7 linked regions of the Oryctolagus cuniculus genome follow. The protein of the gene in region 5 interacts with the protein of the main gene of each other region in a pairwise test. Links are inferred from orthologs where the notes say so. Each region holds a gene or a part of one and is shown on either strand. Other genes may lie near its edges.

Region 1 (4,233 bases), on a different chromosome or scaffold from region 5:
GGCAACCACAGGTGGGACTGGAAATTCCATAAACCACGGCCAGCGCTGTGGCGTACTGGGTAAGATGCCACCTGAAGTGCCGGCATCCCATATGGGCACTGGTTCGAGTCCTGGCTCCTTCCTGGCTATTTCCAATCCAGCTCTCTGCTAATGCACCTGAGAAAGACACGCAAGATGGCTCAAGTTCTTGGGCCCCTGCACCCACATGGGAGACCCAGCCCTGGCCGTTGTGGCCATTTGGGGAGTGAATCAGCGGATGGAAAACGCCTCCCCGCTTCTCTGTAACTCTGCCTTTCAAATAAACAAAAAATTTTTTAAAAGGTTATTTGTTTCAATAAACCTACAGCAGGCTAATTTTGTTGATAATTTTGCATGGCCCTTGGCAGAAAAAAGGTTCTCATCCCTGGTTTAGAGAGATGCAACGCCTCGCCCGAGGTCCACGGCAGCGGGTAGATTACAGAGCGAAGGCTGCAGCTCCAAGACCCACGTGTGTGTCCTCAAGGTCCACGCAGCGTCCCCGGCCGCTGACAGCTCCCCCGGGAGGAGCCCGGGTCACGCCTCTTTTGTTCATCGAGTCCTTTGCGAGTGCAGGCACTCAGCCCTTTTTAACCACATGAGTGAGCAAGTGAGCTGGTCTCACTGTTCCCGGAGAGAACACTCGGGGACTCTGGAATCCGTGCCCGCCTGCCATGCGCTCCCCGCGGCGCGCCGGTCACGGCGCGGTCCTGACTTCACTGTTCTCAGTCGATGATCGCCACGTCCCTGGTTCCCTCCAGTCTCCTCACAGCGGTCCTCCGAGCCAGTGCCCCAGCCCCATGTCGCAGATTTAGAATCACAGACAAGGCCGGCGCTACGGCTCACTAGGCTAATCCTCCGCCTTGCGGCGCCGGCACACCGGGTTCTAGTCCCGGTCGGGGAGCCGGATTCTGTCCCAGTTGCTCCTCTTCCAGGCCAGCTCTCTGCTGTGGCCAGGGAGTGCAGTGGAGGATGGCCCAAGTGCTTGGGCCCTGCACCCCATGGGAGACCAGGATAAGTACCTGGCTCCTGGCTTTGGATCAGCGCGGTGCCCCGGCCGCAGCACAGCGGCCATTGGAGGGTGAACCAATGGCAAAAGGAAGACCTTTCTCTCTGTCTCTCTCTCTCACTATCCACTCTGCCTGTCAAAAAAAAAAAAAAAAAAAAGAATCACAGACAGCAGAGGAGGCTTGTCAGGCCAACGTGGCTCAGCGCCCGCCACACCAGTCGCCATAGGCTGGGCGTCGCGGGGCGAAGCAGGCGCGACGGGGAGGCCCACACGACCGAAAAGTCACTTTCCAATTACTCCCGGCCCTGCCAATCGGCTTCTTCATTTTTGGTTACCCAGCCTGCCCCTCTGGGGCCAAACCCGTTGTGGCGCCTCCCTGCCATGGCAACCGGCGAGCCACTTCCGCTGTGGCCTACGTCATTTCCGGCGCGCCGGCCTAGCCACATCCGGGGTCCGGCCACCAGAGCGGCGTTCTACTTGCGCGGAGTGTGAAGCTGTTTGGTTCGCTGGACCGCCTCCGAGACGTGAGCGAGGCCGGGCCGCGGGACGGGGGACTCGGGTCGGGGAAGGCGGGCCTCGGCCAAGCCCGGGTGGGATTCCATTTTGCCCGCAGCAATGTGGGAGCCCGGCGCGGGGCGGTCCCGGTGGCGATCACTTCGGGCCGCGGGGTTGGGAACCGGAGCCGCCTCCGCGAAGCTTAGAACGCAGGAGAGACAGAAGTTGGAGTTCTAGCTTCGGGTTGTGAGGCCGGCCAGCAGGGCGCCCCCAGGGCAAGTTGCTTTTAACGTCTTCGAACCTCATTTTACTTACCTTTCTGCATGGAGGCGTCGGCGGTACCTTTAAGAAGGGTCTTAACGTTGACCCCGGCCGGCTTGAGCGCCCGGTGAGGACCCCTACTCGCCGCTGCTCTTGGGAATATCGTGCCCCGTGCCCTCGGAAGCGGCGGCATTCTGTAATCCCACGTCTCTGGGACCCGCTCTCCGAGAACACGGGGACCCTCTGCTCCCCCACCTCCCCCGGCGTGCCTGCTGTCGGAGCTGCCCGTGGAAGCAGTGAGCTTCCTGTCCCTGCTTGGCGCTCCTGCTACACGCAGGCCACAGCCACCCTCACTGTGCGGCGCGACGTGCCTGGCGCTGTGCGACTGGCGGAGGTGGGATTTGAACTCGGGCTGCGGTCTTAGCAGGGCTGTCGTGATGGTGATGAACCTAACGATGGGACTTGGGGAGGAGCTGTGTGCGCGTTAAGCATCCTCCTAGGGAATCCTCCTTGCAAAGCACTGCTCAGGTGCTGCTCCTCCGCACGCGGAGGAGCCGCACCGGACCGGGCGCTTGTTGTTCCCTTTTTTTACAAGTCCTTTCTATAGTAAAGTAAGAATAAGTAAACAGCAAACTCCCAAAGCAAGAATGAGTAGAGAGAAATGAGAAAGAACGAAGTAACGAACTTCCCCGCGAACTCTCCAACGCACTCTCCAACCAACCCACACCACTATGCCGTCTCTCTCCTCCTATATAGTCCTCCTCCGCCAATCCCAACTCGGCTGCCCACACGCCGAGCACGCCGCTCTCCTCCAATCAGGAGCAGCTCCTGCAGCTTGTCAAGTTGGTGAAAGGCAGCTGGGTAGAAGCTGTTTACTTCTCTCCCAGCGCCATATTGTGGGAGAGCAGATGCATAGAATAAATCTTAATTCCAGTAACAGTATAGTCCGAATTGCTCCCCACACTCAGGGCCGCGACAGCTGTCGATTTCAAGTTTAGACAGCTCCACCTCCCAGAAGTGGGTTCCCTGTTCTGACCCACAGATACCTTACTGAGTTATGTAATCGTAATTCCTGCAGCCTTCCGGCTCGAAGGAAGAGATCCGTGTTTTGGAAGAGCAGGCGTCTCTGAGTCTTGTCAAGTGATGTTTCAGAAAGCATACTGGGAGGGGCGAGGGAGTCCCCCTGGGACGGCCAGGGGTGGAGCGATACCTCTTTCCCAAACAGTTACATTAAAAAATAGTGGCATCTGGGACCCCAGAAGAGGTCCGCCCAGTTTCTGAGGCAGTGATGCGTGGAAGGCCGGGAGGTGTGTTTGCATGTCCATGCGTGTATCCGTGCATGTGTACATGTGTGCCGTGTTTATGGCATTGGTGAGGGCAGGGAGTGACCTTGAGTCGCATGGCCCTGGAACTTGTCTCCTGTTTCACCCGTGTTAGGGCCGACCGCTTTCTAACCCACACCTCCAGTTTCTGCTTCATTGACTGGTAACACTGGTCCTGACGGACTTGGAATTTGGAGGAAGCTCTGGGGGCAGCGAGAATCTTCCTGCTGCCCCCAGGACCTAGCAGACGCCGTGCCCTTTCTGTCCCTTCAGTGACGGGCCATGTCGCTGTCCCACCTGTATCGGGATGGCGAAGGCCGTGTGGATGACGACGACGATGAGCGGGAGAACTTCGAGATCACCGACTGGGATCTGCAGAACGAGTTCAACCCCAACCGGCAGCGCCACTGGCAGACCAAGGAGGAGGCCACCTACGGAGTGTGGGCGGAGCACGACTCGGACGACGAGAGGCCCAGCTTCGGAGGCAAACGGTACTGCCTGGCCCCGGGCAGCTTGCCCTCGTCTCATGGAGGGGAGGGGTGGGGAGGGGACCCAACAGGTGGCCGCCTCTCCTGGCCTTCTGGAGGGAGTCCCTAGGCTGGGACAGCAGCTTCCTCCCGAGGCCGGAGTGCTGCTCGTTCACTGTTTCACCGGCAGTCCTGCTTCCAAGCAGTTCCTGTGGTCCAGGCCTTGTGCTGTGGACCCAGCGCTTGGCTTCCTGGAGTCTAGACTCCAGTGCATGGAGACAGGCCTGGACCACTGAACTCTGGGACCGGGATTAGGGTTATGGAGGAGAGCACAGAAGCCTGGAAGGGTGCTTGACGTCTTCCGGGGGCCAGGGAGGATGTTTCTGGACAAGTGACCCTAGGCTGCGGGGTGGTGGGAGAGGTGTGAGCACGCAGAGGCCCTTGGCGGGGGCTGCAGGAGACCCACACGGATCAGGAAGGTTTGGGGGCTGGAGCAGCGAGAGGAAGGGGAGCACGGTATGAGAAGGGTTGGGGGGGTTATATTTGAGAAGCCCCCTTCACGGGTGTGTGGGCTGCAGCTACTCGACCAGTGTGTGGCTGACGGGGCTGTCTCTGCACCCCTGCTGTGGCCCGCGGTCCCAGCCCATTGCGACATGGCCTTTTC
Region 2 (3,998 bases), on a different chromosome or scaffold from region 5:
CAGTTACAACGTCACTCCCTACAGCTGGCGGCGCCCAAACCTTCACACCCTGCTGTCCACGCAGCTGTCCACGCAGCGCCTCTGGGCAGTAACTGCGTCTCGGCGCTCTCCCCGCGGACTCAATCCTTTCCCTGCCCTCCTCTCTGTGTGACAGAATTATAGACAATGAGAGACAGAGAAAGGTCTTCCTTTTCCGTTGGTTCACCCCCCAAAATGGCCGCTGCGGACGGCGCACCACGCTGATCCGAAGCCAGGAGCCAGGTGTTTCCTCCTGGTCTCCCATGGGGTGCAGGGTCCAAGCACCTGGGCCATCCTCCACTGCCCTCCCGGGCCACAGCAGAGAGCTGGCCTGGAAGAGGAGCAACCGGGACTAGAACCCGGGGCCCACATGGGATGCTGGCGCCGCAGGCGGAGGGTTAACCAAGTGAGCCCCGGCGCCGGCCCCCTTTTCTCCTCTTGATGGCCTGCTGGCCCTTCCTGGACCTCTGGCTGCCCGGGACGCACGCTCAGCTCGTGGAGCGGACGGGTGGCGATGGACAGACCGCCTGTTGCGATCGGCCAGCGCCCGGTGCGGGAAACAGAGGCCAAACCGAGGGGCAGTGGCTCCCGGCGACCGCAGGGTGGCCCTTCCGGAGGGCTGAGCGGACGCAGCAGGGCCAGGCCTGTCCACCTGCACCGCGCGGCTGACCGCTGCCTCCGTGCGGGTCCGGCGGGGCGGGCGGGTGCCGTCGCTGGTCCCGCCTGCGGCTCGGGGCCCCGCTGCCCGCACCCGGCTCCGCAGCTCCTGCGGGGCAGGGACGGGAGCGCTAGACGCCCTCCCGCTCACCAAGCGCCCAGCGCTGACTTCAGCAGCCCCGCACACCTAAGACAACCGTGCGCCCGCACCTGCCTCGCTCGAGGCAGGGCCGCCCGCACGCGTAAACTGAGCCTTCCCTCCCGGAGCCGCCGCGGCCGACGGAGGTTTTTGGTCTTTCGGCTGTAACCGCACACGGTCCCCAGCGCAGAAGGTTCCAGAACCACGCGGCCCGGACGCCCGCGCCGGCTCCGGCCAGGGCGCCCGCCTCCCTCCACGCAGGCGCTCCGCAGGCGTCCGCGCTCCCGCCGGCGAGGCCCGGGTGCGGCGGAGACCCCGCCCACGGCCGGCGCCCGCAAGCCCGCTGCGGCCCGGGGCTTCGGCCTCCCGCCCCGCCGCGCGCCACGCGCCCGCGCACCTACTACGCGCCGGCCCGGCCCACCTCGGGCCCGCCCTCCCGGCGCCACAGCCAATGAGCGCGCGGCTCCGCATCCGGGGATCCCGGCGCGGCTGCCGCCTCCCGCGCACACACGGCCATGGCGGAGGTGAGTGAGCGGGCCGGGGGAGCCGGCCCCCCGCCCCCGCGCGCTCGCGCCCCCGCCGCCGCGGCTGGCCCGGTCGCCGCCCCGCGGGCCGAGGCGCCCGCCCTGGAGCTCTGAGGGCGCGCTCGGGGCGCCTCGCCCGCCGGGGGCCTGAGGGGCGCGGGGCTCGGTCGGCGGCCGCCCCCGGCCCCGGCCCCCTCCCCCCGGCTGCCACATCGCGGCGCGCGGCGCGCATGCGCGCTGGCGCGGGCTGGGAGGGGGCGCAGGGAGGGCGGGGCGCGGGCCGCACTGGGGCCGGGTGGGCGCGCGGGCGGGAAGTCGCGGCGGCCGGCCGTCCGAGCGCCCTCCGGGCCGGGGCCGGGGCCGCCGAGCTTGGGCGGCGGGGTCTCGGGTGCGGCCGCGGGGTTTGCGGGGTCTGGGACTGACGCCGGAGTAGCTCCGAGGCTCGTCCCGCAGCCTCGAGGACAAGTTTGGCTTCGGGGACTTGAGTGGGAGCGGCCGGGCCGGGGAGACGCCGTCCGGGGCGCGGGGCAGCCCGCGCGAGTGTGGCGTCCTCGGGGGCGCGGCCGCCCGCGCTGCGCACTTGGGCGAAGTTGGAGCAGGCCGGGCCCATGCGTGGTCTCCGGCTCCGGGAGGGCGCGGTGGGCGCCGAGGCGCTGTGCTGGCCACTCCCTCCTCCCAGGACCGCCCCGGGCCCTGCTGTCCAGCTCGGCCCCCGCACGGTGCCTGGGTCTCTTGAGTCCTTCCCTGGGCTGCTGACGTCCCCTAGGAGCGGTGGGGTCACGTGGCCGTGGACTCCCGGGAGTGAGGGGCGTGTGGGTCGCGCACGAGTCCCAGCCGAGGTCCAGGTCAGACCCTGCGGCCAGCCTGTGGCTCCTGCCCTGTGCTGGCCGCGGCTGGGCGTCTGCGCTGGGCGAGTTCGTGCAGAGGTCTGGGGGAACAGGAGTCACTGAGCGCTGGGGGCGGCCGGTGGGCCGGGGGCGCAGGGAGTCACTGAGCGCTGGGGACAGCGGGTGGGCCGGGGGCGCAGGGAGGCAGTGCCGCTGGGGGTGGCCGGTGGGCCGGGGCACAGGGAGTCACTGAGCGCTGGGCGAGTTCGTGCAGAGGTCTGGGGGAACAGGAGTCACTGAGCGCTGGGGGCGGCCGGTGGGCCGGGGCGCAGGGTGGCCGGTGGGCCGGGGCGCAGGGAGGCAGTGCCGGTGGGGACGGCGGGTGGGCCAGGGCGCAGGGAGTCACTGAGCGCTGGGGGCAGCGGGTGGGCCGGGGCGCAGGGAGTCACTGAGCGCTGGGGGCAGCGGGTGGGCCGGGGCGCAGGGAGGCAGTGCCAGTGGGGACAGCGGGTGGGCCGGGGGCGCAGGCAGGCAGTGCCGCTGGGGACAGCGGGTGGGCCGGGGCGCGCAGGGAGGCATTGCCAGTGGGGACAGCGGGTGGGCCGGGGCGCGCAGGGAGGCATTGCCAGTGGGGACAGCGGGTGGGCCACGGCGAAGGGAGGCAGTGCCAGTGGGGACAGCTGGTGGGCCGCGGCGCAGGGAGGCAGTGCCAGTGGGGACGGTGGGTGGGCCGGGGCGCAGGGAGTCACTGAGCGCTGGGGACAGCGGGTGGGCCGCGGCGCAGGGAGTCACTGAGCGCTGGGGACAGCGGGTGGGCCGGGGGCGCAGGGAGGCAGTGCCGCTGGGGGTGGCCGGTGGGCCGGGGCACAGGGAGTCACTGAACGCTGGGGGCAGCGGGTGGGCCGGGGGCGCAGGGAGGCAGTGCCACTGGGGGTGGCCGGTGGGCCGGGGCACAGGGAGTCACTGAACGCTGGGGGCAGCGGGTGGGCCGGGGCGCAGGGAGTCACTGAGCGATGGGGACGGCGGGTGGGCCGGGGCGCAGGGAGGCAGTGCCCCTGAGGTTTCCCGCTCTGGGCTGGCATCACAGGTTGCAGAACCTCAGTGCCTGGTCTGTGCCGGGAACGTCCACGCTGTCTGTCCAGGGCTGAGGGCCTCCGTAAACCATACCCAGAGTTCAGCTGTGTTTAACCCAGAAAAATACCTGAGTAGGGTTTGATTTGTAGTTGCCCCCTGACGGTTGAGTTGTCTCGAAATCACGTCACAGGGGGAACACTCAGACTTGGCGCACAGGTACTAGATGAGAGGTTTTTAAGGTTGAAAGAGTGGGGCCTGCTGGGGCTTAGTGGGCGAGGCCTCCCGCGCGGACGCGGTTCAAGTCCTGGCTGCTCCATGTTTGATCCAGCTCCCTGCTAATATGCCTGAGAAAGCAGAAGATGGCCCGGGTGCTTGGGCCCTGCACCCACGTGGGAGACCCGGAAGAAGCGTCTGTCTCTTGGCTTTGGATTGGCCCAGGTCTGGCTGTTGTGGCCATTTGGGGAGTGAACCAGCGGGTGGACGACCCCTCCCCTCCCAGTCTGTAACTGGCTTTCAAATAAATAAATGCATGTTTTTTTTAAAAAAATGGAAAGTTAGAGAGAGAGAGAGAGAGAGGTCTTCAATCTGCTGGTTCACTTCCCAGATGGCCACAATGGCTGAAGCTGGGCCAGGCCGAAGCCAGGAGCCCTGAGCAGGGTGCAGGGGCCCAAGCACTTGGGCCACCCGCTGCTTTCCCAGGCCGCAGCAGGGAGCTGGGTTGGGAGCGGAGCAGCCGGGACTCAGCAGGCGCCCACGTGG
Region 3 (4,078 bases), on a different chromosome or scaffold from region 5:
ACCAAGTGTGCTAGGGCTCTGGCCCCAATCTTCTCTCTCTCTCTCTTTTTTTTTTTTTTTTTTTTAAGAAAAAGAAGTGTGAGTTAATTTTTGGCACACAAAAAAAATAGCTTTTTGTAGTACGTGGAAAAAGTCTTATAAAAAACCCTAAAGGTTGGATTTCAAAAAATTGCACCATAATGAGCTCATAGTTCTGCTTTTCTGTGAACTTTGCGTAGAACCCTGGTCTAATCGTACGTGGCGTTCAGCCCCTAAGATCACGAGAAGTGGTTAAAGGGAAACAGCAGAGCAACTGGATTTAAAGTGTACCCAGCTTCCTCTCCGTTAGGGTGAAGCATTCCAGAGAGTCCGGCTCAGTGGGCTCCAGCCCAAGGAAAATGGGACAGAGGGGCCTGGAGCAAGGGGGCTCGCGGCCACTCCCAAGGGTGTCTCCCCAGACGTGGTGGGAGGGAGTTAGGACACCCGGGGCGGCAGCTGGGTGGAGAAGCAGAGGAGGCCTTGAAGGGGTCGCCGTGGGGGCCATGCGCTCTGAGGAGCGACAGTCTGCTCGCTGCCCGCCAGGCTCCTTGTGCACACACAGCCCCTCCGTCTCAGGTCCATGGCTCAGGGCACCCATCCTGGACACCAGGGCGACAGATCCTTATTGAAGGCGAAGAGGGCGGCGAGCCAGGCTCTAGCTCCAGAACTGGCTGCCAGGCCGGGCTCCTGGGAGCCATCCAGGACCCGCCTGCAGCCTCGGGGCCTGTGCTGGACACTTGTGGGACAAGGCCTGCTGGCCGCAAAGCTGAGGTCACCAGTGTCCAGGGTGGGGGAGGCACTGAGACGTCTTCCCTTTCCCCACTAAGGGAGGCGGCTTCCTCCTGCAAAGAGAGGGCTCTGCCCGCCCAGGCCAGCAGTCAGGCAGGGCGGGTGGGCGGGGCAGGAGGGCAAGGATGTTAACAACACCTGGGATGTTTCCGGTGGCCCCTGGGGACACTGTGACTATAAGAACCAGGATGGTGACTGCCGACCCCAGCGTTAGCTCTATTCCTGAAAGCAGAAGTTCTCAAAATGCAAAACACACCTGCTCTGTTAAACACTTAGAAAGCCTGCCCCGCCCCCCCGCCGGCTCCGGCTGCACCTGCACCCACTTAATCACAAGGGGGTGCATCTGTGCTCCCAGGCTCTGCCTCCGAAACACCTTGACCCCAGGTAGCTCAGAAAGCCGGGGTGCAAATGCCCAGTGCTGGTCCCACTGCGCACAGAGCACAGGGCCCCCTGGCCCACCCAGGCGCTGCGGGTGGGGGCTGCACCTTCTGCTATCTGCGAAGCATTTCCTGCCTGGCTTCATTAGCACGTTGGTGGCGTCGCTTCCTGTGGCTGACTCTCCGTTTCCATTCTGGCAGAGAGTGGTTTGTGTTTTTTTTTTTTTCACACAGTTTTGGGGGTGAGAGGAAGATGAGCTTCACACGGGGCCTCTCCTGGGCCTCTTGGCAGCCTGCCCCGCTGTGCCCCTCGCGTCTGCTTGGGAAGACAGAGCTGGGAGGCTGGGCCTGAGCCTCCTCACTCCGGGAGCCCCTGCGCCCAGGCAACCATCACCACCGACGGCAGACATCGCGGCCACAGCCAGGTAGCACCAAACCTGTTGTCTGTGACGTGGGGTCAGCTGGGCCTGGCACTTCGGGGGCAAGACAGCATGTTGGGGGCGGGGGAGAAAGTTCTAGAACAAAAGATGTTTAGGAAGAAAGTAAAACCGAAATACTGCTTTCGTGAAGGACTTTGGGGAACAAAGATTTAAGAAGAAGAGGTTTTGCAAGTTTTGATGGTGTGTCCGGGAGTATTGGGAAGACGGGGTGACCAGGAGGTCTCTCACTCTACGTGATCTGCTGCAGAACCAACAACAAGAAGTGGTTACATGCAAAATACAAACCCATTTGCCTTTTCTCCTGGGAGTCAGCCCCAGAGGAGGAGTGGGAGTGTGGCAGACACGCCGGCTGGCGGCTGTGAGCCAGAGCAGGCCGAGAAGCTGAAGACGGGGCATACCTCAGAGGCTGCTGGACGATGGGCGCCATCACCCCGACCCTGTCAGGAATGCAAGGGAGCACCCTGGAGGCCAGCAGCCTGGAAGGGTGAGTGACAGCATGGGGCTTCCCCGCCCCCCCCCACCTTGGGGAGCCTCAAACAGGCTCGGGTCCCCCAAGGCCACAAGCTCTGGGCTCGGAGGCATTTGCTCGGGGCTGGCGGGAGGACGGGCAGGCGATGAGGGGTCAGGAAGTCCAATTACACGGGTCCTCTTTGCTGGTGGCCTGACTCCCCTGGACTTCCCTCAGGGCCCCTGCGCCCCGTCCTCCATCTTCCCTAACTCAGGTCCCACCAAACACCCCTCAAAAAAAAAAAAAATAGGAAGTGGGCATGTGGCGCAGCCGTTAAGATGCCCTTGGGATACCCGCATCTCACATCCTACTCCTGAGTTCAAGTCCCATCTCCACATCTGATGCCAGCTTCCTGCAGGCGTGCACCCTGGGAGGAAGCAGATGCTGTAGCTGGCTCCCCACCACCTGTGTGGGAGACCCAGATTGAGTTCTGGGCTCCTAGCTTTAGCCTAGCCCAGCCCTGGCTATTTCAGGCTCGTGGGGAGTGAACCAGCCAGTGGGAAATCAAACTTTCTCTCTTTCTCTTCCCTGTGTGACTTTTGAATAAATAAAAGTAGAAAGTGAAGCAAACATGATCCTACCATGATAGAAACAAAAGCCCAGTTTCCCAAGGATGTGTCTTTAGGTTCTAGAAACCTGCCATGAATGGAAAATGGAATCCTATCAGCATAAAGACTCATCTTTAGGACATAGCCTCTCCTGGGACTAAGGGGGCATCTGTGTCACCGCTGCTACTCTCGGTCTCGCACCAGTAAAGATAAGTCCATCAGCCATTGAATCTTTAGAAACACTGCTAGCAAGAAAGGTCAGTACCGTGAGAAAAATACAAGCCCATGATAATACATTTTAAAATCGCTGTCATTTTGAGAAACGCGTTTTTACTGTGGCAAACATATGTCGCTTGCGAGTGAGACGTGGGTGCTGATGAAGAATGAATTCCTGAAAGTTGTCAGAAGCCTGCTCCCTCACCAAGCTATTTATTTTTAAGATAATTTTGTTTTTTAATTGTAAAGAACAATCATGTATGGTGCATAACATGTTTTGAAATATTGTATACATTGCAGAATGGCTATGCACTAATTCACTTACTTCCTTTCTCATGGGGAGAACTCTTAAAATTCACTCTCTCTGATTTTTAGGGCTATGATACATTGTTATTAACCACAGTCACCACAGTGTGCAGTAGACCTCTTGAGTTTATTTCTTCTTTTTTTTAAGATTTTTTATTTATTTATTTGAGAGACAGAGCAGAGCTACAGACAGTGAGAGGGAGAGACAGGAAGATCTTCCTTCCATTGGTTCATTCCCCAGACAGCCACAATGGCCAGAGCTGCACCGATCTGAAGCCAAGAGCCAGGAGCTTCTTCCAGGTCTCCCACGTGCGTGCAGGGGCCCAAGAACTTGGGCCATCTTCTACTGCTTTCCCAGGCCATAGCAGAGAGCTGGATCAGAAGAGGGGCAGCCGGGACTAGAACTGGCGCCCATATGGGATGCCAGCACCACAGGTGGAGTATTAACCTAGTGCGCCATGGCCCCGAGTTTATTCCTTCTAACTGAAATTTCGTATCTGGTAACTGTCATCCCTACAACCCCTCCCCCACAGCCCCTGGTCCCCGTCTACTCTCTGCTGCTGTGAGTTCAGCTGGCTTAGACTCCAAGTCGCATGGGAGATCATACGTGTTTGTCTTTCTGGCCTGGGTTATCTGCTCGACACAATAGCCTCTCATTGCATCTGTGTTGCCCCAAAGGACAAGATGCCCTTCTTCTTCAAGGCCGAACAGTACAGCTGGGTGTGTACAGCACATCTGCGTTGTCCATGTACCTGCTGAGTGGCGCAGAGGTGGAGTCCACGCCTTGAGTATGGCAAATAAGGCTCAGCAAACACAGCAGTGCACGCGTCGCTTTGACACACTGACTTCATTTCCTCTGAGTCCGTGGGACTGCTG
Region 4 (3,958 bases), about 58 Mb from region 5:
AATAAATAAAATCTTAAAAAAAAAAAAGAAAAGGTTGGTGGCAACATTTGTTCCTTAGCTTTAGTCAGTACACTTTCCCCTTTCCTTTATGTTTTTGTTTTCTATGTATTTATTTTTGCATAGTTTGAAGTGTTGTTGTTCACTACCAAAAGTATTCTGACCAAGTCAGTACCCTTAAGCCTTCCAATATGAAATAAAACTAGTCAAGTGAATTGCATCAATAAGCCAAGAAAAATCTTTTTAAAGAACTTTTTTTAAAAAATTAATCTGAAAAACAGAAACAGATCTCCTATCTACTGGTTCACTCCCCTCAGTGCCTGCAGCAGCTGAGGCTGGGCCAAATAGGAGCCAGGAACTCAGTCTGGGTCTCCCACGTGAGTGGCAGAGATGCAACATCGTGAGCCATTTCATGCTATCTTCCAGCGTACACATTAGCAGAAAGCTAGCACTGGGCACCAGAGTGCACATTAGCAGAAAGCTAGCACTGGGCACAGAGCCGGGACTTGAACTCAGACCTTCCAATATGAGACACAGGCATCCCGGAGATGTATTTGCCACACTGTTTTTTAAAGTTTCATTAGAACATCAACACTATGGGTGGACTTCTGGCTAAGTGGTTAAGTTCCTATTTGGGATGCCCACATCCTATCAGAGTGCCTGGTTTTCCTGGCTGCTCTGCTCCTGATCCAATTTCCTGCTAAGGCACACCCTGGAAGGCAACAGATAATGCCCCAAGAACTTGGGTCCCTGCCACTCATGTGAGAAGCATGGATGAATTCCTGGCTCCTGGCTTCAATCTGGCCTAGCCCTGGCTGCTGACGGCATTTGAGAAGTGAGTCAGTGGACAAAAGATCTCCTCTGTCTCTCAATCCCCCACCCCCACCTCCACCTTTCAGATAAAATGAAGAGTAGTTTTTAAAAAGTTCTTTCTTTCTTATTTGAAAGGCAGAGTTACAGAGGGAGAGAGAGAGAGGCAGAGATAGCAAGATCCTCCAACCAATAGCTCACTCTCTAAATGGCAACAACAGCCCATTGGAAGCCAGGAGCTTCCTCCCCATCTCCCACATGGATGCATGGGCCCAAGATTTGGGTCATCCTCCCCTGTGGATCTTGCATTGGATGCCGGCACCTTAGGTGGTCCCAATACATAAATTTTATTATTTCTTTTTTTTAAAAAAAGATTATTTTATTTGAAAGGCAGAGTCACAGAGAAGTAGAAGCAGAGAGAGAGAGAGGTCTTCCATCTGCTGGTTCACTCTCCAGATGGCCACAATGGCTGGAGCTGGACTGATCCAAAGCCAAGAGCCAGGAGCTTCTTCTGGGTCTCCCACTTTGGTGCAGGGGCCCAAGGACTTGGGCCATCTTCCACTGCTTTCCCAGGCCATAGCAGAAAGCTGGATCAGAAGTTGGGCAGCCAGAACTCGAACCAGTGCCCATATGGGATGCCAGCACTGCAGGCGGCGGCCTCACCTGCTACACCACAGTGCCAGCCCCAATAACTACATTTTAAAAACTTAAAACACTAATACTATGCACTATGTACTACATTTCAGAATTGTGTGGCAGAATCTGCTAGAGCTGCTATTATACAATGACCAAGCAATGTACATCTCACAGAACTGTGTATTTATATGGAATGGTAGATATTCTCAAGAAAGACAAAAACTTCCCTGGTCGTAACTGCTCTGAACTGGAAACAATCCTAATATTACCACTGTGCTACTCAAATGGTCTATCATTCACAGCAACGATGTTTGGAGAGCAAAGAAGCCAGACACAAAGAATACATGCTGCTTTTTTAATGCATATAACATTTAAAAACAGGAAAAAAATACTATCTTTAAATATATTTATTGGAGAGATGGAGAGAGGAGAGGGGGAGGGCGAGGTAGGGGGAGGGGAGAAAGAGGGAGAGGAAAAGCAAGTGAGCTTCCATCAGCTGATACACTTCCAGAATGCCCAGAGCTGGAGCTGTGAACGCAATCCCCGTCTCACAGGTGTGGCAGGACCCCAATTACTTGAGAAACCATTGCTGCCTCCCAGCGTCTGCACTAGCAAGAACCTGGAGTCAGCAACTGGAACCCGAGAGTCGCTTTGCTCCTGTGATCTCAGAGAACGGGTTCTGCATCTCAGGGAGAACACGGCTGCTGCAGTGAACCTCCTCGGTACGCTCAGGTAACCTGACACAAGACGAAAGCATCCCACTGGCATCCTCACCGCTAAGTTAAACACCTCTTCCTCCATACAGTTTTTAAAGATTCCTTGTATTGCACAAATGTTTGATTTACAAAAGATCTATAAGAATCAGAAGGAAGATAAAAATTGTTTTTGTGCAGTAGGAAAATCCATCATGATAAAAAGACATTCAGAAAAAAAAAACCTTTAAATCTGATTAAATAAAACTAATTCTTAAGACCTCTTAAGACAGACGAGGAACAGTTGTAACCTTAAAAACAAAGTATTCACATACAGATTTTATAAGGAATTCAGAGGACACAAGTCAGTAACAAAAGAAATACCAAATAGGGCTTCTTTAAGAATAAAAACTATAGAAAATATATAGTATTAAATGATACACTATTAAATTGATAAAACTGTTAAAATCCAACAAAAGCAGGTGTGAAAAGGGTGTGGGGAGTTCTCAAATACTACTGTCTAGAACTTAAATTTTTACAGCAACTTTGGAGAGTACTTTGACAATATTTAAAGTAGACATACCCTATACACATAGAGAGAGCTAAGTCTTCAGGATATTGATAAACGTTTTTGAGAGTTATATAGAGCATGCAGAAAAAAGTTTTCCCACATAAAAATCCAAATAATGTAAAAAAATTATTTAAAGAATATACATCAAGCTGACTGATAATAGGAGAAAGCTACTTACTAGGAAAGAAAAATGGGACCAAATGTTCACTGACTATAACTGAAAATAGGATAACTTAACTTATATGACTTGTGAACTTAATTTTAAGGGGCAAAAAGAAAAGAGCAGAATGGCTCAGTTCTCAATATGTTGGCCTGCGTGTGGTTCGGAGACGTGGATTGAGAAGTCATTAGGGACTAGACGAAACCGTGGAGCAGGTGCGGTTGCCTGGGGGATGAGGAAGAGGAGCAGCAGGAGCGTTAACTGTGGTTAGGGAGGTATCTCCCAGTTTATAGCATCCTAAGTAGTATCGCGGCACAGCGAAGCAGAGCCCACGGAACGCTCTCGTACACACAGTCTCTAGCTGTGAGGTTTGAATCGGTGGACACACAGTCCACCGAGCCGCCCCGACATTCCCCGGGGAACGGCGAGCTCCCCGCCATAGCGGGGCGCCCAGCGGGAGGCGGCAACTGGGGGGCCACGCATGCGCCCCGAGTCCCGCGAAAGCAAGGCTTGTGCGCACGCGCACAACGGCGCAGCCGCGTCGCCCCTGTTTTGCTAAAAGCGCTTTGCTAGAACCTGAGCGGTTTCTACCATGTCGGCAATGGCAGAGCTGTCGGAGCTGTATGAAGAGTGCAACGACCTGCAGATGGATGTGATGCCCGGCGACGGGGACCTTCCGCAGATGGAGGTAGGCAGCGGGAGCCGGGAGCCGACCCCGAGTCCCTCCCGCAGCGGGGCCGCGCCACAGCTCGAAGAGGAAGGCCCGATGGAGGAGGAGGAGGGGGCGGCGGCCCAGCCAATGGCGGCGCCGGCGGGGAAACGCGGCCTGGCTCCCGGGCGCAGCCCTGGGGAGCAGCCCGGCCAGGTCGCGGGCCCGGACTTGGAGAGCGAGGACGAGGGCGAGGAATTTGATGACTGGGAGGACGACTACGACTATCCAGAAGAGGAGCCGCCGAGCGGCGCGGGCTACAGAGTGTCCGCGGCCCTGGAGGAAGCCAACAAGATGTTCCTGGGCACATCCCGAGCCAGAGAAGCAGCCCTGGATGGCGGCTTTCAGATGCATTATGAGAAGACCCCGTTCGACCAGTTAGC
Region 5 (3,582 bases):
ATCCTGTGAGATGGTAAAGATTCCACATGGACACTGAGTGGAAAGAGCAGCAGTAGGGGGAATAAAGGATCTGAGGAAACAGGGAAAAGGACATTATCAAACAAGTTGTGCTAATAATTACAGCAATCTTTATCCTATAGAAACCTGATGAAAAGTTAAAATGGAATCAAAGTGACCCAAGGGAAGATGAAAATCAAAATCCATAATCAAAAGACTAATGAATCAACATAAGTAGCTATTTATAGATGAATGAATGAAGGAAATGTGGTATATACACACAATGGAACACTATTCAGCCAGAGAAAAAGAATGCCATCAGTCAGTTGAGGTAACACCAATGAGCCTGGAGGACAATATGTTAATCGATATGCACCAGGCACAGACAGACAAATACTACATGTCCTCACTCACATGTAGAAAGCTAAATAAGTTGGTCTCATGGAAGGTGAGATTAGAAAACTGGTTATCAAAGACTGGGAAGAAGAAGAGAAAGGGAGACACAGAAAAGTCAATTACATGCTACATAAATACAATTAAATGCAACAAAAAAATTTCCAGTGTTCTGTATCACATTAGGTGATTATAATTAACAATACTTTAATTATATATTACAAAATAGCTATATGGAAGGATTTTGACTGTCCCGTAACACAAAGAAATGAAAATGTGGGAAGTGGTGGATATGCTAATTACCCTGATTTGATCAATACACATCATATATATTTATGGAAATAGCACCCTGTTCCCCCAAAATATGTGCAATTATTATGTCAATTAAAAATGTAAAAATACACAAAAAATGTCAAAGTTGTTTTAAACCCATTATCTCCAGCATCATTCACATTTTGCACGGACTGATAGGGAATTTACCAATTCTGCATTCCTCCTTATTTTATACTCTTCCTCCTCCTACTCTCGGAATTTTGTAGGGAGAGACTTCATCAACTCTTACTGGTATTTCCCAGGATTCCAGTCTCAGATCTTCCCAAAGTTCGCATATTTTCTTAGAGAATCCCAACTATTCACATTCTCTTGAGGAATCCCAGCTGCTCCTCTCACTTGGTCGCAGGAAACCGGGAGCTCTCTCTGGGACGCTCCTGTCACACTTAGTCCTGGACAAACCCAGGTGGACCCTTGTAAGAAACTCTACCTCACCACGTGGGAAACTGAAGTTACCATCTTCCCCTTTAAACTTGCCCCTTCCTCAGCGACCACCCAGCCCCTCCTGCCCTCCCCAAGGCCGCCTCGTCCACGCAGGAAACCCGGGGTCATTCCCATCAGGCCAGCAGCGGCTCCACCTCAGACCCTCGCCGTCGGGCGCACAGCCCCTCCCCTCCCGCCCAGTCCGAATCGCGCGGCCCGCGGACGCGCAGGCGCAGTGTCCCGTCGTCCCGCCGCCGCCCCGCCCTGCCCGCCGCTGCGGAAGGCGCCGCGCGCAGCTACGCGCACTTCCTCTCAGGGAGACCGCGGAGGGAACGCAGGCTCGAAGAGCTCCGGGACGCTGAGGCCCTGCTCCTGTCAGACGGCGCAGACATGTCGGAACAAAGTAAGGACCTGAGCGACCCCGACTTGACAGCCGAGACCCCCAGCCGCGAAGTGCACAGCAGCCCAGGGGTTCCGGCGGGGGGCCCTGCGCCCGTCTCCCCTGCAGCGACCCTCGCAGGGCCACAGAGCCCTCCTCCAGGCCCGACGGCGCTCTCACAGCCCGAGCCGCCGCCCCAGGCCCCGAGCGATGAGGATGACCCGAAGGCCCTGCTGCAGGCAGCTGAGGAGGGCCGCGCCCACCAGGCCCCGAGCGCGGCCCAGCTGGGCCCCGCGCCGCCCGCCCCGGCCCAGCTGGTGCAGAAGGCACATGAGCTCATGTGGTACGTGCTGGTCAAGGACCAGAAGAAGATGATCATCTGGTTTCCAGACATGGTGAAAGATGTCATTGGCAGCTACAAGAAATGGTGCAGAAGCATCCTCAGGCGCACCAGCCTCATCCTCGCCCGAGTCTTTGGGCTGCACCTGAGGCTGACCAGCCTGCACACGATGGAGTTTGCGCTGGTCAAGGCTCTCGACCCCGAGGAGCTGGACAGGGTGGCACTGAGCAACCGGATGCCCATGACAGGCCTTCTGCTCATGATCCTGAGCCTCATCTACGTGAAGGGCCGAGGCGCCAGAGAGAGCGCCGTCTGGAACGTGCTGCGCATCTTGGGGCTGCGGCCCTGGAAGAAGCATTCCACCTTCGGGGACGTGAGAAAGCTCATCACCGAGGAGTTCGTCCAGCAGAATTACCTGAAGTACCAGCGCGTACCCTATGTTGAACCTCCGGAGTATGAGTTCTTTTGGGGCTCCCGAGCCACGCAAGAGATTACCAAGATGCAGATCATGGAGTTCCTGGCCAGGGTTTTTAAGAAAGATCCCCAGGCCTGGCCTTCCAGATACAGAGAAGCTCTGGAGGAGGCCAGAGCTCTGCGGGAGGCCAGTCCCAGTGTCCACTGCCCCCGAAGCAGTGTGTCTGAGGACTAGTGAGGTCTGGAGGCAGATTGATGGTTTCCAACCCCCACCAGGGCTGTGGAAGGGTGGGGGGCAGGTCTTAGAGTATTCAGGATTTACAGTGCAGTATTTCACGTGTAACCTTTCAGTTATCAGTACAGTGCTTTTATACCTTTTAATGCAATGTTGTATTCATTTGGGTACTATCAAGTAGTGTCTAGCATTTATGCATGTTTGTTTATAAGTAAGCTCTGTTGGTGCTTCGCTTTTGTGCTACCTTTCTTGGATTTTTTGTACCAGAGATGTGCTAAACTTATGAAATACATTGAGAAGTTTTCCATCTTATTCTTTTATATGGGACGATTGATGTGTACTGTATGATTGATGCACCTGGTGAGTGTGGAGAACTCACCAGCAAAGCTGGCCTAACCAAGAGAAAAGCCTAAGGCCCCTCTTTATGACCTTGATGGGCATGAGCAACATCTGGAGTGAACTGTTTTGAACTGAGATGGTCTCAATGTGGGCACTTGGCACACTTTACTAAACACATATACAACCTACCATGAGTAAACTTTAAACATTAAAGATTCTTGTGATACAATCATTTTTGGAGAACTGTACTCTATCATTTTAATAAACGGTATCATAGGGAATGAGAAGGGATTCCCCATTGTACAAAATATGCAAATACTTCATGATTAATCCTAAATGTGTATTTATATTGTATTATAAATACAACTCATATTTGTTTCAAAAGGTTTGAGAAATACAGAATGTGTAATGTCCCCAAAACAAGTAAAATTTTCCACAATCATAACACAAGGAAATAGCAATTGATCATATTTAAGATAATTTCTTGCCTTCATTTTCTATACTTTATCAAAGTTAATAGCTGCCTTTAGTGGTCTCTTAAAGAGGGAGGAATAGTGTTTTGTTAACTTTTGCCTTTTATTTAGTGCCCTCACTAAATAGTCGCTTATTACATCCACACAATGGAGGAAATCAGGAACAAAGTAGGGATGAACTTTGTGTAACTCACATAGCTGAGTAAAAGAGGGTGCTAGGATTTGAACCTATGCTATGAATCTGGAGCCCACATTCGTG
Region 6 (3,065 bases), on a different chromosome or scaffold from region 5:
TCCCTGCCCCTCCCGCCCCAGGGCCTTTGCTTGGAGTGACTCAGATTAGCTCCCACTCATCCTGCAGTTCTCAATTCCAGCACCCCCCCCCCTTCCAGGAAGCTCTCCCAGATCTCATCTGTGCGAATCTTCACCAGCCTCTGAGACTCCAAGGGAAGTCATTCACACCTGGCTGTTGTGGCCATTTGGAGGAGTGAACCAGCAGATGGAAGACCTCTTTGCTGCATGTTTACAAGGCCCACAACTACCCAGAATGAACACAGCCAACTGGTGAGTTGCCTGGGGGCAGGCGAAGGAGGAGTCCACTTACCCCCTGCGGTTTGTCACTTCTCAGGACAAGATTCTCTACTGGACCCATCTTTAGCTAGGAGGAAGATGCCCACCTTTCTTGGAGTCATGAGGCTCAAACGAGACTGACCGGGGCAGGGCGAGGAAGGGACGTGGGGAACGGCATTTCCCAGCCAGACTTGCTCCCAGTACAGAGTCCCCAGACCCAGCCCAAACGTCATCAAAATATTTATTAAAACCAAAGCAGGAGAGAACAGAGCTGTTAGGAAACAAGTCAAAGTGCAGATGGAGGGTGGGACGGAGCAGCCAGCTGACCACACGAGAGGCCCCTCACTCACCCCTCCTGCCCACCCTCAGGGAAGATCCCTCACTCCCCTCTCCCTGCTCACGGCCAACCTGGGGGACGGCTGGGGACCTGCAGTGACTCTGGGGAGGAGCCACCCCCTCCATCACTCACGGCTGGCTGGCTGTCAGTCAGTCTGTCTCCCTCCCTCCTTTTCCCAATAAATAAATCGCTCAGGCCTCAGCTCCTTCCGGGCGGGGTGAGAACAGCTCAGGGCCCCGTCTCTGCTCAGGGACAGGGAGTCAGCTCTGCAGGCCTTCCTCCCTCCGACCCTTTGCCCATTCCCAGGCTACCCAGGAGGCCTTGATAAATAAATAACGCTCCATTAAAGCTTCGGTCAGGAAACCCTTAAGACAGAAGTGCTCACTGTCCTGTACCCTCACAGCCAAGGGCTCCCACCTGGCCCGCTCAGCACACAGGATGCTGTGGGCAGGGGGCTGCCCTGGGCCTCGTGGGGCCCCTGGAGCAAGGAGACCGAAAGTGCAGTTCGAGCCCCCTCACGCGCACACACGGACGCACGCCACACACGTGGACACACTGGGGTGCGTCTGCAGTACACGCACAGATGTGTTCACCTTCATTCCCCGGTCCACGCACACATGCACGCTCACACCACACGCACCCCAGGTACACACGTGGGGGGTGTCAGGGATAAGCACACACACACTGCAAACAGAATCCCCCCTTCCTGGCGACAGCCAGATCCCAGAGCGAGAAGCCCCTGGAGATAGGAGAGGGGAATAAATTAAACATTTCCAATCAGGCTGGGAGGACGGCCAGAGGCAAGGGGCTCCGGGGCTGCAGAGACAGCCAGGGTGGGCATCTCAGGAGATACCTCCCCCCGAAGCCTCCTCAGAAATCCAGCGGGGTGAGATCCCCAAAGTCACAGTCAAAGAGGTCTCTAATGCCCTCCCCCTCCTCGAGGCCGAAGTGGTAGTCGAGGGTCTCATGGGGAGGGGAAAGGCTGATGAACTCCTCGGGGAGGAGGCTGGAGAAGTCCTCCCGCACGTGCTCCAGGAGCGAGTCAGCTGCCACCAGTGGGGACAGGCGGTCCTCATCCACGGGGGCTCGGAGGCCACCCATGCGGGATAGCAGCGGTTCTGGGAAGACAGGGGAACATCACAGGGGCTGCCTGCACGCTCACGAGGGGGCTCTGCCCTACCTCACCCTACCCCGCACCCCTCAACTACCTTGCTCCAGGCTGAGAAGGGACTGGCTGGGATCCAGAGCAGGGGATGAGGGAGGAGATGACGAAGGTGGAACCAAGGTGGCAGAGTCAGCTGTCCTGTCTTCCTCCCCAGATGCCACGCCCTGGGTCGGGGTCTTCCCAGGACTGATCGCGCCCGCACTCTCCTCAGGGCACAGGAAAACATCGATGGGGCCTTGTTTGCTCTTAAGGGAGATCTGAAAGGTCTGGGTAGAGGTGGCAGGCGGGGTAAACGCAGGCCCGGGCGATCACAGCCCAGCCCAGCCTGTCTTGGTCTCACCTCTGCGGAGTCCACAGCTTGGAGCTGGGTCTCAGGAGGAGCCTTGATCACCATGACCATCTGCTCTGCAGGATCCACAATGCTCCGAAGGTCCTGGCAGGTCACGTAGGCCAGGGTTGGAGGAGTCAAGGACTACACACGGCCTCTGCCTCTGGGGGCCACTCACCCAGACAGCTCATAGGCAGGCCTGTGGCTGCCTGTTCTCTGCTGTCCTCACCGCTCAACCCCCTACCTAGGGCCTGGCATGTGGTACTTTCAAGATCTCCCTTCCCTGCCCCGAGCCTCAGCTTCCACTCCCGTACAATGGGACCATTCAGCTCCTCCAATCCCAAGGGGATGATGGCGGCTGCCTGCAATGATGACTCCTAGGAAAACGCTCAGTGCAACTCCAGGCCGCTACTGGCCAACTTATTTTGAACCATGATTTTGGAGTCAAAACTTAGAAGCACAATTTGGGTATCCACTAAAAAGAAGTCCTATTTTAAGGAAATTCCTTACAAAAATGAAAAATAAATTGCCTGTACCTTTGAAGCCACAATGGTTACTGTTAACACCTGCCTTTCTTTCGTAATCGGATTTCAGAGTTGGACATTACGTCCTTTATAGATGAAGCTAAGCGCTGAAAGGTTAAGTAACTGGCCTAGTGACACAGCACGTGCTGAGCCAGGACCTGCACCCACAACCCGGGTGCTCTCCCAGGGCCCAGGGTGGCCTCTCCAGTGCCACTCGTGGGGGGCCCACAGCTTCCAGCCAAGGATATCGCTGGCTGTCAGAGTCCTCAGAAAGCAGCCGCAGCTGTGTGGCACAGAGGTGCATCAGGTGGTCCAGCTGCTGCTCGCTCTCCTCCAGCTGCCGGAGGTCCTGTGTTAGCCCTTCAAGCCGTCCGCCGATGCCCACCGTGGTGTGGCTGCCTCTGTGGGGAGGACCACAAGGGTTAACAGCTCTTG
Region 7 (4,242 bases), on a different chromosome or scaffold from region 5:
TGGAAGCAACTGTGGTACCACTCAGGGAAAGCATATCACAGGCAAAGAGATTCTGATTTCTCCATTTGGAAAGTTTGCTTCTGTAAAAAAAAAAAAAATCAAGTTGATGTCAAATGCTGTCATGCAAATAAAACAAAAGCTAAGAGCATGCTTAGAAAAACCTTAGGGATTTTATGTAAATCTCTGCAATTCTCCCCATGAACCCGTAGAACTCCAAACAACCCCTGTGGAAAGGCGTATCCACGTGCTGTAAGGCGTGCACATTGTTTCAGGTATCCGGGTGCTTTCCATAAGAAACCCATAGATTTCTGACTGCCTTTCTAATCTACCTAACATAGCGACCCGACGGAGGAATCACGCGGCTGCTTTGGCTGCAAGCTCCAGGAGTTCTCTCCGGAGACCACACCCGACGCCTGAGGCTGGCCGCCGCAGCTTCCCTATGAAAATCAGCCACCTGCATGGCCTTTCGAAATCATCAGGTTGGGTGTTACACAGGTGTACAAAGCGGGCAAGGGGGCTTTTAATAGGAGGGAGTCGGTAGTGTCAAGTCCACGAAGCAGGGATTTAGCTCGGGGAAGTTCCAGCCAGGCAGCCTGAAGTCAGTTGCCCGCCGTAGAGCGAGCCGCCGCCTAGCAAGCGGGTCTTCTCCTTGGTAGCGTCACTCTTCCTCTGCTTCCCTCCGTCTACCCGCGTCGTCAACACACCGAAAGCCTCCAAGGCTTTCTTCCCCACAAAGAAGAAAATTTAGGAAGCCAGAGGCAGTGCCCTACAGCTTTAGAAATGATAAAAGGTAACACCTGCAATGCACGCCGCAATCGCGCACGTGTGTAGGTAGGGGGGCAGAACCCTGTGGGCTGAGAAGCAGCCCACCAACTCCGGGGGTCAGGGGGCCCAGGAGAAAGGTAGATTAATTAAAGAAAGTGCCAGAAAAACTGCAAAGAAACGCGAAACTTTCCTCGCTAAATGCCGCATACGTGCAACCACAGCCTATTCTCCTCTCAAACCACTAGCGACACTGCACCGTCGCCATAAACACTAAGTGGGGAAGAGGGGTGATCAAAGAGGTCCCTGGTGGGAAGCGGTGGGCTGCGGGCCAGGGTCTCCGAGAGGTACCGGGTTATGGAAAACTAAGTTGTCAGTGGGCGGCGAGAACCAATGGCTGGGGATACTTGAGCATCTGAGTGATACGTGGGTCCCGGGGTAAGCAGGCTGCGGCTGGCTGGGTGGGAAAGGACAGGACACAGGTGCGGGGATATAGGGTCTCAGAGAACAGAAAGGGCCTCAGAGAAAAGTGCAAAGGAGAAGAGCCGCAGCTCAGCGGCCCCGCGCCGCCGCCCCCGCCCTCCGTTTTGCGCAGAATCCTCCCCTTGGCTGCAGCAGCGCGCTGCCCCCACTGGCCGGCGCGCCGGGATCGATCGCAGGCTGCGTCAGAAGCCTCGCGGCGTATAAATAGGGGTGGCAGGACGGCGCCGAGCCGCACACAGCCATCCATCCTCTCCTTTCCCTCTCTCCCCCGTCCTTCTTTCTCTCTCCAGGCCCCATCTCCGGCCGCGGGCCAGAGGGGCACCGGCCGCCACCATGAGTTCGTTCAGCTACGAGCCGTACTACTCGACCTCCTACAAGCGGCGCTACGTGGAGACGCCCCGGGTGCACATCTCCAGCGTGCGCAGCGGCTACAGCACCGCGCGCTCCGCTTACTCCAGCTACTCGGCACCGGTCTCCTCCTCGCTGTCCGTGCGCCGCAGCTACTCCTCCAGCTCCGGCTCCTTGATGCCCAGCCTGGAAAACCTCGACCTGAGCCAGGTAGCCGCCATCAGCAACGACCTCAAGTCGATCCGCACGCAGGAGAAGGCGCAGCTGCAGGACCTGAACGACCGCTTCGCTAGCTTCATCGAGCGCGTGCACGAGCTGGAGCAGCAGAACAAGGTCCTGGAAGCCGAGCTGCTGGTGCTGCGCCAGAAGCACTCGGAGCCGTCCCGCTTCCGGGCGCTGTACGAGCAGGAGATCCGCGACCTGCGCCTGGCTGCCGAAGACGCCACCAACGAGAAGCAGGCGCTCCAGGGCGAGCGCGAAGGGCTGGAGGAGACCCTTCGCAACCTGCAGGCGCGCTATGAGGAAGAGGTGCTGAGCCGGGAGGACGCCGAAGGCAGGCTGATGGAGGCGCGCAAAGGCGCTGACGAGGCGGCACTCGCTCGCGCTGAGCTGGAGAAGCGCATCGACAGCCTGATGGACGAAATCGCCTTTCTGAAGAAAGTGCACGAAGAGGAGATCGCCGAGCTGCAGGCGCAGATCCAGTACGCTCAGATCTCCGTGGAGATGGACGTGTCCTCCAAGCCCGACCTCTCCGCCGCCCTCAAGGACATCCGTGCACAGTACGAGAAGCTGGCCGCCAAGAACATGCAGAACGCCGAAGAGTGGTTCAAGAGCCGCTTCACCGTGCTGACCGAGAGCGCCGCCAAGAACACCGACGCCGTGCGCGCAGCCAAGGACGAGGTGTCCGAGAGCCGCCGCCTGCTCAAGGCCAAGACCCTGGAGATCGAAGCATGCCGGGGCATGAACGAAGCGCTGGAGAAGCAGCTGCAGGAGCTGGAAGACAAGCAGAACGCCGACATCAGTGCTATGCAGGTGCGGCCTGGTGCGAAACACGGCGGGGGCGGGGACCTGCAGAATGCGGGGGTCGGGGCAGGGGGAGAGTTGAAGCTGCGCCCAAAAAGTGGAGACCAGGGCTGGTAGGGGTCGCACTGTGCTCCCAGGGGACGGTGTGGGAGGGGCGGGGCCCTTGGGTGGGGCGGGGCCGCTACTGCAGTCTGGGTGTGTGAGTGGTGCAGTGGAGTCTGAGTTCCGCATTGAAGCTGCCCAGCGTGGGAGGGGTCAGGCGGGGGCGGGGGAGAGGTGGGAGTAGGGCGTTGCCCTGGCCTGCAGGGATGTCGGGCCATCTACCTACCTGCATTCACCTGAAGTTACTTTGCAACACCAGTGGGATCACCTGGTTAATAACCATAGCGAGTAAGTCTTAATTAGTCCCGAAAGGTTACTGTGGCCAGTATATTTTATGACTGGTTAAGTACCAGCTACTCCTCCCCTTAGCAGGTGGACAGGAACCCAGACAGATTTGTCTTGGGTAACTAGCTGGGGAGCAGAAATATAGGAAATATTTTAGAGAAAGTATAAGCAATTTAGCTACTTCCTTCTCTTATGAAGAAATGGATGAATTTTCTGGATTGTGACCTGGCTAAAGTGGAGTTAACCCATAAATGAGAATCCAGCCTTTTCTGTCAAGTTAGTTTCCATGCAGGCATATTCTGATGCTCCTTAGATTGTACTAGTTGAGGATATTGTCTTAAAGGAATGTTCTTTCTTTAGTTTTTTTTTTTTCTTCTCATGCTTCATGAAGCTGGATATTTTAGGCGAGAAATATTTTCAAAAAAGAGTGAGCAGCTGTTTTAGGGGAGATTTTTATTAAAGGTGTGCCCCTCGACTCTAACTGAAACTGAGTGTTTGTAACTGAGCTACAGTAAAATGATAGCAGTAGGAATTGATGCTTAGATTTTCTTCTTTTTCTGTCTTCCAACAGGACACGATCAACAAACTAGAAAATGAATTGAGAACCACAAAGAGTGAAATGGCACGATACCTAAAAGAATACCAAGACCTCCTCAATGTGAAGATGGCTTTGGATATTGAGATTGCAGCTTACAGGTAACAACAGAAGGGCAAAGGTAGTAGCCAGAAAGCCTTGGAAGAAAATCAGATGCCATTTAGATCATGTTGAACCAGAAGCCTTCTGCAATAGCCCTCTGAAATGAGATATTATTATGATTAGTTTGCTTCTTCGAAGGAGCAAGTGTTTAGACAAATATCAAAGAACTTTACCCTGTAATATTAAGTCCTGTTTTTAGCTTCTCATTACACTTAAAATCTAATAGAACTATTTAACGTACTTTATTCTGTATCCCCCCACCCCCAGTCTCATTCATAAAATTCCTAGCCATTGGATATTGGTAATTCCCAGCCCTCTCTTGTTTGCATTTGCCTGTAGGATGGCATTGGGAGAACAGATGAGAGGTGGGCTTAGAGCAAGTCATTAAATACACTTCCTAGGTTGTTTTAATTTTAACCCTACCCTCTGTTGGTCTCCCCAGAAAACTCTTGGAAGGTGAGGAGACCCGACTGAGTTTCACCAGTGTGGGCAGCATAACAAGTGGCTACTCCCAGAGCTCCCAGGTCTTCGGCCGGTCTGCC

What was found.
Region 1: the proteins of NDN (region 5) and TFIP11 interact in a two-hybrid assay, tested with the Homo sapiens proteins (2 studies listed by BioGRID and IntAct). The link is inferred for Oryctolagus cuniculus from reciprocal best matches to the Homo sapiens genes NDN and TFIP11.
Region 2: the proteins of NDN (region 5) and MIER2 interact in a two-hybrid assay, tested with the Homo sapiens proteins (2 studies listed by BioGRID and IntAct). The link is inferred for Oryctolagus cuniculus from reciprocal best matches to the Homo sapiens genes NDN and MIER2.
Region 3: the proteins of NDN (region 5) and LAX1 interact in a two-hybrid assay, tested with the Homo sapiens proteins (2 studies listed by BioGRID and IntAct). The link is inferred for Oryctolagus cuniculus from reciprocal best matches to the Homo sapiens genes NDN and LAX1.
Region 4: the proteins of NDN (region 5) and EID1 interact in binary tests that used the Homo sapiens proteins (3 or more experiments, as listed by UniProt). The link is inferred for Oryctolagus cuniculus from reciprocal best matches to the Homo sapiens genes NDN and EID1.
Region 6: the proteins of NDN (region 5) and E2F1 interact in a two-hybrid assay, tested with the Homo sapiens proteins (2 studies listed by BioGRID). The link is inferred for Oryctolagus cuniculus from reciprocal best matches to the Homo sapiens genes NDN and E2F1.
Region 7: the proteins of NDN (region 5) and NEFL interact in binary tests that used the Homo sapiens proteins (3 or more experiments, as listed by UniProt). The link is inferred for Oryctolagus cuniculus from reciprocal best matches to the Homo sapiens genes NDN and NEFL.

Annotation. Positions count from the first base shown.
Region 1 is NC_091452.1:20,280,662-20,284,894, reverse strand, and holds the start of TFIP11 (tuftelin-interacting protein 11), read left to right. Parts: upstream 1-1,433; 5' UTR 1,434-1,548; exon of another isoform or gene 1,549-2,174; intron 2,175-3,375; 5' UTR 3,376-3,384; coding exon 3,385-3,593; intron 3,594-4,233. UniProt on the Homo sapiens protein: Involved in pre-mRNA splicing, specifically in spliceosome disassembly during late-stage splicing events. Intron turnover seems to proceed through reactions in two lariat-intron associated complexes termed Intron Large (IL) and Intron Small (IS).
Region 2 is NC_091447.1:58,246,338-58,250,335, reverse strand, and holds the start of MIER2 (mesoderm induction early response protein 2), read left to right. Parts: upstream 1-1,198; 5' UTR 1,199-1,265; coding exon of another isoform or gene 1,266-1,329; coding exon 1,330-1,338; intron 1,339-3,998. UniProt on the Homo sapiens protein: Transcriptional repressor.
Region 3 is NC_091444.1:19,380,680-19,384,757, forward strand, and holds the start of LAX1 (lymphocyte transmembrane adapter 1), read left to right. Parts: upstream 1-1,278; 5' UTR 1,279-1,894; coding exon 1,895-2,108; intron 2,109-3,310; exon of another isoform or gene 3,311-3,574; intron 3,575-3,954; exon of another isoform or gene 3,955-4,075; intron 4,076-4,078. UniProt on the Homo sapiens protein: Negatively regulates TCR (T-cell antigen receptor)-mediated signaling in T-cells and BCR (B-cell antigen receptor)-mediated signaling in B-cells.
Region 4 is NC_091443.1:71,693,919-71,697,876, forward strand, and holds the start of EID1 (EP300-interacting inhibitor of differentiation 1), read left to right. Parts: upstream 1-1,158; 5' UTR 1,159-3,458; coding exon 3,459-3,958. UniProt on the Homo sapiens protein: Interacts with RB1 and EP300 and acts as a repressor of MYOD1 transactivation. Inhibits EP300 and CBP histone acetyltransferase activity.
Region 5 is NC_091443.1:13,452,797-13,456,378, reverse strand, and holds NDN (necdin), read left to right. Parts: upstream 1-1,400; 5' UTR 1,401-1,533; coding exon 1,534-2,511; 3' UTR 2,512-3,082; downstream 3,083-3,582. UniProt on the Homo sapiens protein: Growth suppressor that facilitates the entry of the cell into cell cycle arrest.
Region 6 is NC_091442.1:24,388,522-24,391,586, reverse strand, and holds the end of E2F1 (transcription factor E2F1), read right to left. Parts: intron 3,032-3,065; coding exon 2,879-3,031; intron 2,234-2,878; coding exon 2,119-2,233; intron 2,045-2,118; coding exon 1,822-2,044; intron 1,732-1,821; coding exon 1,484-1,731; 3' UTR 501-1,483; downstream 1-500. UniProt on the Homo sapiens protein: Transcription activator that binds DNA cooperatively with DP proteins through the E2 recognition site, 5'-TTTC[CG]CGC-3' found in the promoter region of a number of genes whose products are involved in cell cycle regulation or in DNA replication.
Region 7 is NC_091433.1:49,228,069-49,232,310, forward strand, and holds the start of NEFL (neurofilament light polypeptide), read left to right. Parts: upstream 1-1,442; 5' UTR 1,443-1,578; coding exon 1,579-2,625; intron 2,626-3,574; coding exon 3,575-3,699; intron 3,700-4,142; coding exon 4,143-4,242. UniProt on the Homo sapiens protein: Neurofilaments usually contain three intermediate filament proteins: NEFL, NEFM, and NEFH which are involved in the maintenance of neuronal caliber.